Linked DNA regions of Xenopus tropicalis. The protein of the gene in region 1 interacts with the protein of each later gene in a pairwise test. Links are inferred from orthologs where the notes say so. Each region holds a gene or a part of one and is shown in the gene's direction. Other genes may lie near its edges.

Region 1 (4,453 bases):
TTACACACACTGACAGAAACCATAATAGACTCACCTTGTTTCATTGTAAAGTGATGGATTCTGGGACCTGGAATCCTTCTGCTTTCTTTAATGAGCGGGCCATAATTATTTGGAAAGCAGTGGGACTTTAGGTTCCAGAATTCATGACTTCACAGTGCAACAAGGTGAAGGACTGAGTGGGGTGGGTAACTGATCCCTTTGATCACAGACGATTATGATTTATTTTATGGAATCAAATATGTCTGCGTAAAATATATGGATTGATATGTATTTTTGGGAGTTCAGCAAGTGTTTATGCAAAAGGGTGGGGGGGGGGGTGCATATTTTAAGATACTTGTCTTAATAGAATAAAAAGGCTTTTATCTCCAGCCGTTTTTTACTTCATAAAATATAATGTTTGTCTCACCACTAAACGGATGAGGATGTAATAAATCTAATACTCTTGGTAAAAAAATAAACATGCATTTATAAGCATTCAAAATTACCTCTGTCTTATAGAGTGTAACCACATTTATGTTATGAAGTAATATATAAGTGATGTCAATATACTTACCAAAGTATTTTAATGCAATAAGTGTATCACTTTATACTGCAGTCAAGAGGAAAAGGTTATATAACTGAATTTCAATAACATCGACATGTGTACTCAATTTTTCTTCATATTAAGACTTTTTAACAGATACCGGGACTTGGCACCACAGCTTGTTCCAGATGACTACACAAATAAACCAGATGTGAAGATCCCTTACGAGCTCATCGGCAGTATGCCTGAGCTTAAGGTAAACCACGAGAGAAGCAACAACGGCAAAGGTTGCCAGATGTCACTCTAATCCGGTGCTGCATTAATAATGCAGAAGGTGCTAATTGGCATGACTTGGGAAGATCACTGAAGCCTAACAAAATACTTGGTGAAGTTAAAAGTTGCCTTTTGCATCTCAGTTACATTTTATTTGACCTAATCTGCACTCTGATTCACCTGTTACTTTTAGACTGAACCTTGAACACTAATAAAAAAAATTGCGGGGAAAAACATAGCTAGAAAAGGTGATACAGGTATAGGTTCTTATATGGAATGCTTGGGACCTGCGTTTTTTTAAACGATAAATAAACCCAATTGGACTGTTTGACTCTTATATGGAATTATGCAGCTTAGTTATTTTTAAAAACTAGAATTATTTGCTTAAAATGGCCTCTATAGAAGATGGCCTTGCCATAATTAAGAGCTTTCTAAATAATGGGTTTCCTATACCTGTATTTTCTCAAATGAATGTATCATAATATAACAATGTTTTCTAAAACAGAAAATATAGAATATAACAGAAACACTTTTTTTAGATTGTAAAAAATGTAACATCAATGAGGTTCCTTTTGATTTACCAAGGCTGACATCAGTCTCTTCTTCGGCAGGATAATCCTTTTCGGCAACGCATAGCTGAGGTTTTTTCAGAGGATGGAGATGGAAACATGACATTGGATGACTTCTTAGATATGTTTTCAGTACTAAGTGAAATGGCACCCAAAGACTTAAAAGCTTTCTATGCTTTTAAAATATATGGTAAGTTATGTTTTTATTGGCAGTCTTTATCATTCTGGTTGCATCTGTGGATGTTACTTTGGGGTTATGGTTTTGGCAGACAATAAGGAAAACAGATGACTGGTGCTTGATCTCCTTGAAGAAAGTGTTTATGTTGAGTAGCCCACTCACACTAGGGGGCACATTTACTAACCCACGAACGGGCCGAATGCGTCCGATTGCGTTTTTTTCGTAATGATCAGTAATTTTGCGAGTTTTTCGGCATCTTTTCGATTTTTGCGTAAAAACGCGAGTTTTTCGGCGTCTTTACGAAAGTTGTGCAAAGCCGCGATTTTTTCGTAGCGTTAAAACTTGCGCGAAACGTCGCGCCTTTTAAGTTTTAACGCTACGAAAAAGGCGCGACTTTGCGCGCAAGTGTTAACGCTACGAAAAAATCGCGACTTTGCGCAACTTTCGTAATGGCTACGAAAAACTCGCGTTTTTACGCAAAAATCGTAAAGACGCCGAAAAAATCGCAAAAAATATGAAAAAGTCGCAAAATGTTCGTTTCCAATCGGAATTTTTCCAATTCGGATTTGAAATCGTGTCTTAGTAAATCAGCCCCTAGATATATGCATACTTGTGCTCCCAGTTTGGTTCACTTTTGGTTCTGTTCTGTTGAGAAGGAATTTATGCTTTCAATTTATTATTCTTTCTGTTTTGCAAAAGTAGGGTTGGGGGGCTGGACTGTAGTCCTGAAACGCCCTCAAACTACAGCTCACCTGGCTGCGTCTCCCTGCTCCCCAATGCGTCCTCCCGCTCCCTTTTTGCCCACTCCCCACTGTGTCTTCCCGCTCCCTGCCCCCGCTATGTCCTCCGGCTCCCCTGCTGCGTCTGCAAACAGGTAGTAACCAGGGGTGAGGACACAGCGGGGGCTGGGTAAATTACCTTGGGGGACCGGATCCGACCCATGGGCCATATTTTGAGGATCCCTGCTCTAATATCTCAATTTGCAACAGTAATAAAATCACTGGTGCTACAGTTATGTAAACAATAGACCCCCAGAAAAGGTCTACAAAATGTTAAGGAATAACCCATCAGTTTTTTCATACATCTCTCTGCCTCATAAATATTCAGCTGCAATATGCCTTCCAAAAATGAGTATATTTATTTTTATTCAGATTTTAATAATGACGATTACATATGCAAGTCAGACCTAGAGAAGACACTTAACAAACTAACACGGAATGAGCTTACCCCTGAGGAAGTTTGCCTGGTGTGTGAGAAGGTGATCGATGAGGCTGATGTAGATAATGATGGAAAATTGTCACTGGAAGACTTCCAGCACATGATTGTTAGAGCTCCAGATTTCCTCAGGTACAGTACAGTCAATCTAACACATTTTGTTAAAGATCAAGGTGTCCCATGTATAGTTAAAGGGTGAGTTCACCTTTGAATTAACTTTTAGTGTGATATAGACATTGATATTCTGAGATAATTTGCAGTTTGTCTTTGTTTTTTTAGTGGTTTTTAGTTATTTAGCTTTTTGTTCAGCAGCTCTCCAGTTTGGTATTTCAGCAGCTATCTGGTTGCTAGGCTCTTATTTACCCTATGAGAGACGGGAATATGATAAGGAAAGGGCCTGCATATAAAGATAAGTAATAAAAAGTAGCACTAGTAGCCTCACAAACCAATAGTTTTTGGCTGTCGGGGTCAGTAAAAGTAAGGAAAAAAATTTAAAAACTATAAAAAATAAATAATGAAAAGATATACTACATACATAGTTGCTAGGAATAAGGCATTTTATAACATACTAAAATTTAACTTAAAGGTGAATCATCCCTTTAACTTATCTTTATTAATTTACGGATTTCCTTAAAGGAAAACTATATCCCCAAACAATGTAGCTCATGCTGTATGTAAAACCCTGCTTCATCTAAATAAACCATTTTCATAAAATATAGTTATTTAGTAGTATGTGCTATTGGGTAGTCCTTAATAGAAAATTGCCATTTTAAGAATTAAGGGCCGCCTCCTGGGATCACAGGATTCACAGTGTAGTCATTTTGGCATTTTACTGCCAATAGATTAGCCACATTAGTGCTACCTAGAACACTCTATTTATTCTGCAGAAAGCATTACCATACCTGAGTAAAGAGCCCTTGAAGCTCCCTCTGTTTGTGTGAGATTGCAGCTGCCATTTTAGCTTGGTCTCCGTAGAAGTCTGATAGTGAAGAACATGTTTACAATGCACAGAGAAGTCAGTGCAGCGTTTCTGTGAGTGCTAATTGCTGTATTTACAAAGACCTTTCTGATAAAGCTTACTTAGTTTTTACTTTCTTTCTCCTTTAAGACTCCAGACTTCACCAGGCACCTAAAACTGTGAAAAGAATTTCTTTATTAATATTAATTGTATTGCACTAGGATTAATGGGTCCTGATCATATCAGACCCAATTTTATATTGTAAGGAAAGGTGTCGGGTTGCCCGACTTAAAATAATAAAAATAAATTATATATATATTGCATTTATTCGTATTTGATTAAACCAGAGTCTATAGGAGATAGCCTTCCTATTACTGGCTAGTAAATGTGTTCCTGATGAGCTAAATATTTATGTTGATTTTATATATATAAGTAGTTGGAAACACCATAAAACTGGCCAAGGTTGGCATAACTGTAATCCTGGTTGTGCTATATTTATCCTGCTGCACAAGTGTGGCAGTATGAAAACACACAATGAACAAGGCACACGCAGATAGGGTTGATTCACTAAAGTGCGATAAGCGGTATCACATGCTTTTTTTGCGTTAAAATTGACGCAGAAAAAAACGCGTGATTCGCTAAAGTAATATCGTATGCGTTAAATACCGCATGATCGCAAGGCGCTAATTTTAACGCATTGCATTAATTCTCGCATAGAAATAATACTAACGCATGAT
Region 2 (5,017 bases), on another chromosome or scaffold:
GCTGGGCCAAGGCAAACAGGTGCCTAAGGCAAACCCCACCACTTGTGTGTAAGATGGCAAGTGAGGGTGACTTCGTTGCCCCCATACCTGCTCCTTACTAATAAAGTGTTCCAAAGCCACAGTCATCCTAATGCCATAATTACAAGAGGACCAAAACTAGGGGAATACATGCAGAACCTATTTGCAATATGGGCACTCCTAAATTGCATCACCCACAAGCTCTAAATGCTGTACATATTGTATAAAGGGTTCCTCCTGATTATTTCTACGAAGAGTCTGATACATGCCGTTATGTCAGCCATAAGGCATTACAACGCAGTCCAACCCTTCCTAGTGTGTCTTAATCAAGGGTAGCAAAAGATAAAATGTGGCAGTACTGGACTGTCAATCCAAGATCCTTGAAATCCACAGTTTGTATCTCTAGCAAAGCAAAGTTGATCTCCCTTATGCCATTAAGAAATGTTGCAATCGCCCCATCTGGACTTGCTTAGTAAATGAGCCCTATATTATTTTTGGTTTTACTGTATAATTATAGTGTTATAACTTATTCCACAAAGTGATTACAACAAAATAACATTGCAGTAATTGTGCACTTGTAATACTCTGCATAATGTACTTTACCCCTAACTAAACCTTCAGGGAAATGGCATAGTCCCCCAGCTGTTGTGTAACTACATTTTCATGCATTCTCTGATAATTGTAAGTGCAGCTGTGATGTTTTACAAGGGAAAATGTACAACTTGTTAACAAATATAATGCTCTGTATGCAATATAATCTGAAGCCTAGTAAATTTATACAGTCTGGGAACTTTCTTTCTACAGAAGGTATATAAGCCTGGATAAACATTTCTACAGAAGGTATATATATATATATATATATATATATATATATTTCACACTATATATCACTATATATCTCCCTTTAAAACAGTATCTGCTTTCCTCATTTTTAGACACAACTGATGGCAGAGCATGAGGGGGCGTGGAGAAGGTGGGATATGTGGGATGGAATAGATTTTGTTTGTATGTGTGTGTCATACAAAGCTATGTGACAAATCCGCCTCTGCAGGCAAAAACCTGAATCATCTGTGTCTTGCTTACACTTAACTGTGTCTCTGAGTCACAAGCAATTCAACCAAAGTGTAGTGGATGCAGTTCCCAAAAAAATACAATTCAATGCTTTATTTCACTATTAAAGGTAATCAATAGATTATAGATAAATCAATAGATTCTTGTGAGAAAATAATATTCTCCTTTCAGTACAGATTGAACTATAGGGTAAATATATTTATTGCCAAGAGTAATACTAAATGAAAGATAAAACTAGGGTCTATACAGATGTACTAATTGAATCATATGATATTGTGGTTTTTCTCACTATTTCAGAATATAGAATATTTATTAGTATACATTGCCACACATTTGAATTGCTCAACTATGCTCTTGTACTTTCATACAGAAAGCGAGAGATTGCGAGCGATATCGAGGAGACAAATGTTTTACTAATTGTAGGTAAATCAGAATGGGGTTGCTGGGCACCTTGCTTTTAAATTAAACAATAAAGACCGTTTTTTTTTTAGCAAACTCCGCTGTCCGGTGTGTTGGAGTTCCTTCAACTACTTATGATTTTCCCCTTCGGCTACGGGTTCGGGGCCTTGAGCGCCCGGACCACTTCTGGACTTTGGTAAGTTATTTAAATTTCGCTTCACCTTTTTTGATTCTCTTTAACTGCTTGGGATCGTATACTTTGGAGATAGGCTCGGGGTCTATACACCTGAGCCTCCACATTTTACCGGATACGATTTGTGTTACCATCCCAATACAAATTTTATAATTTATTTATCGCTTTATTTTGGGGTTTATTTTGATTTGAGGTATGTTTTTTGGGGTTGCTGTGAACATATCTTTTGCCTGTTTTCACCTGGTTACGGGTCATCTGAAGTACACACTCTGTCGTGCATGCAAGATTCTGTGTGCAGGCCCCTGGTGTTCCTGGGGGAACAGGACCTTGTAATTGCATACTCATAGGAGAGGAAAAATAGACATGTAGCTAGTGTGGGGTAGTTCAACAGATGTAGGGATTCAACTGGACAGGGACTCAGGAAATTATAAATGTAATCCCTTGCAGCACCCATTATGCAGCCTGAAACACTGATCAATACCTGTAGTATGCAAGTAAACCCCAAGAGAACTCAACATTATGTGTGCCACAGTAGTATATTTTACAATAGGGGAACATTATTTACTATATAATGTGGGGTTAAGTGTCTTATCTACATGACAAAGGGCTCTGGTGCCATATTTTCCAGACTTCTCAACTCATAACTCCTTACAAAATATAACGCAAAATACTAATTGCAAACCACCCAGATCCCTGTACTTAGTAATTAGTAGGATTGGCCTCTTCACACCATATAACTTCTTTTCTGTGCTCTTCCAGGCCTGTTACATCACTGTAAACCCTATACCGATGCAGTTACTCTCCATGGGGTAAATTTGACTATATATCCCAATACTGTCCAATGTGGGAGGGAATCATTTTATTATTGTAGTGCTGTCTAACTTCTTCCTACCACATGTTTGCAGGCCAGACTATTGTATTGTATCACTTGTTGCTCTTTACAGTGCAGTATTTTAGGAGCACTATATAGTATAGTGTGATGGTGATAAGGTCTTTTATTGTACAGTCTGGACAATGCTGTATTGTACAGTGTGGTTGAGATCAGACACTATACTGCACAGCTTGTGGAAAGTTTTGACCCATTTTGTATAGTGTGTGGTGAAAAATATTTTTTTTACAGTGTGGGAAAGATCTCTATGCTGGCCATACAGTTTGTCAGTAACAGAAGTAGACATCAACAGGCCCCACATACAGTCATTGTCTCACTGCCTTTCCCCTGGTAGTTATTTCAGTGCACAATGTTTAGCTTCTGGCCAACACCTGCAGGAGCATTTTAGCCACCACTGCCACCCTGAGGCAGCTGGAGCGGTGCCAACCCCCCCTCACCCCATCCTGATTAACTTTATAGCTTTGTGCAGTAGAACAGACAAAATTCCAATTTAAAAATCTGAACTTCAGCTTGTAAGTAACCAGGAGCAGCCTTTTGCCACCCATTGTAACATGCAGGGTTCTGCCTCATGGCTGGAGCTCCTCTAAACACCTGTGATTCAGAGAAATGCTAGCTAGAGGACTATTTGCATGAACTCCTATATAGTTACATAGGGTTGAAAAAAGACTAGAGTCCATCAAGTTCAACCCATCCAAGTAAGCCCAGCACACCCAACCAACACCTACCAATCTATACACTCACATACATAAACTATATATACAACCACTAATACTAACTGTAGATATTAGTATCGCAATAGCCTTGGATATTCTGATTGTTCAAGAACTCATCCAGGCCCCTCTTAAAGGCATTAACGGAATCTGCCATTACCACATCTCTAGGAAGGGCATTCCACAACCTCACTGCCTTCACCGTGAAAAACCACCTACGCTGCTTCAAATGGAAGCTCCGTTCCTCTAATCTAAAGGAGTGACCTCTGGTGCGTTGATTGTTTTTATGGGAAATAAGAACATCCCCCATCTGCCTATAATCCCCTCTAATGTACTTGTACAGAGTAATCATGTCCCCTCACAAGCGCCACTTTTCCAGAGAAAACAATCCCAACCTCGACAGTCTAACCTCATAGTTTAAATCTTCCATCCCCTTAACCAGTTTAGTTGCACGTCTCTGCACTCTCTCCAGCTCATTAATATCCTTCTTAAGGACTGGAGCCCAAAACTGCACTGCATACTCCCTTACCAGGGACCTATAAAGGGGCAAAATTATGTTCTCATCCCTTGAGTCAATGCCCTTTTTTATACAAGACAGCACTTTATTTGCTTTAGTAGCCACAAAATGGCACTGCCTGGAATTAGACAATTTGTTATCTACAAAAACCCCTAGATCCTTCTCCATTAAGGAAACCCCCAACACACTACCATTCAGTAGATAGTTCGTGTTTATATTACTTCTACCAAAGTGCATAACTTTGCACTTATCAACATTGAACCTCATTTTCCAGTTTGCTGCCCAGTTTTACAATTTTTTCAAATCGCTCTGCAAAGCGGCAGCATCCTGCATGGAACTTATAGTTTTGCACAATTTTGTGTCATCAGCAAAAATAGAAACAGTACTGTCTATGCCCACCTCCAGGTCATTAATAAACAAGTTAAAAAGCAAAGGACCAAGGACTGACCCCTGCGGTACTCCACTAACCACACTTGTCTAATTAGAAAATGTTCCGTTTACCACCACTCTTTGTAATCTGTCCTTCAGCCAGTTCTCTATCCAATTACAAATATTATGTTCTAGGCCAATATTCCTCAATTTGATCATTAACCTTCTGTGAGGTACTGTATCAAACGCTTTAGCAAAGTCCAAGTAGATGACATTAACTGCCATTCCCGCATCGAGGTTCCTGCTCACCTCCTCATAAAAGGCGACTAAATTAGTCTGGCAAGATCTGTTACGCATAAAACCATGCTGGCACAAACTTATAGTATTGTGAACTGCAATGTATTCAAGTACCCTATCCCTTATTACCCCTTCCAAAAGTTTTCCTACTTCTGACGTCAAACTAACAGGCCTATAGTTTTCAGGCTGAGAAAGGGATCCCTTTTTAAATAATGGCACCACATTAGCAATCCGCCAGAAGAGGCTTGGCAATCACAGCGCTCAGCTCATTTAATACCCTGGGATGAATCCCATCCGGGCCAGTGGGATTTCACCCAGCCTAAATAAGCTGGGTGAAATATTCATCAGGCTGGCGATCATTTTGGTCTGATACATAAGATGGTTGGCTGCCGATATGTTCACAAAACAACAGCCAGTGCTTTCCTGTGTATGGTTATCAATACAGTGACAAAATCAACCTAGTTTTGTTTGATATTCGGTGTGTACGGCGGATTGATGAGACGTCCGATATTGCAACTGCGTTTAGGGCTGAATCACCAGGTGGAAGTACAATG

Evidence for each region. The genes of interacting proteins can lie anywhere in the genome.
Region 2: the proteins of cib3 (region 1) and sertad1 interact in binary tests that used the Homo sapiens proteins (3 or more experiments, as listed by UniProt). The two-hybrid records come from large-scale screens. The link is inferred for Xenopus tropicalis from reciprocal best matches to the Homo sapiens genes CIB3 and SERTAD1.

Annotation. Positions count from the first base shown.
Region 1 is NC_030677.2:104,272,146-104,276,598, forward strand, and holds part of cib3 (calcium and integrin-binding family member 3), read left to right. Parts: intron 1-667; coding exon 668-779; intron 780-1,407; coding exon 1,408-1,555; intron 1,556-2,694; coding exon 2,695-2,890; coding exon of another isoform or gene 2,891-2,957; exon of another isoform or gene 2,958-3,029; intron 3,030-4,453. UniProt on the Homo sapiens protein: Acts a an auxiliary subunit of the sensory mechanoelectrical transduction (MET) channel in hair cells. Plays a role in regulating hair cell MET channel localization and function.
Region 2 is NC_030684.2:78,228,160-78,233,176, forward strand, and holds the start of sertad1 (SERTA domain-containing protein 1), read left to right. Parts: upstream 1-1,662; 5' UTR 1,663-1,684; intron 1,685-5,017. UniProt on the Homo sapiens protein: Acts at E2F-responsive promoters as coregulator to integrate signals provided by PHD- and/or bromodomain-containing transcription factors. Stimulates E2F1/TFDP1 transcriptional activity.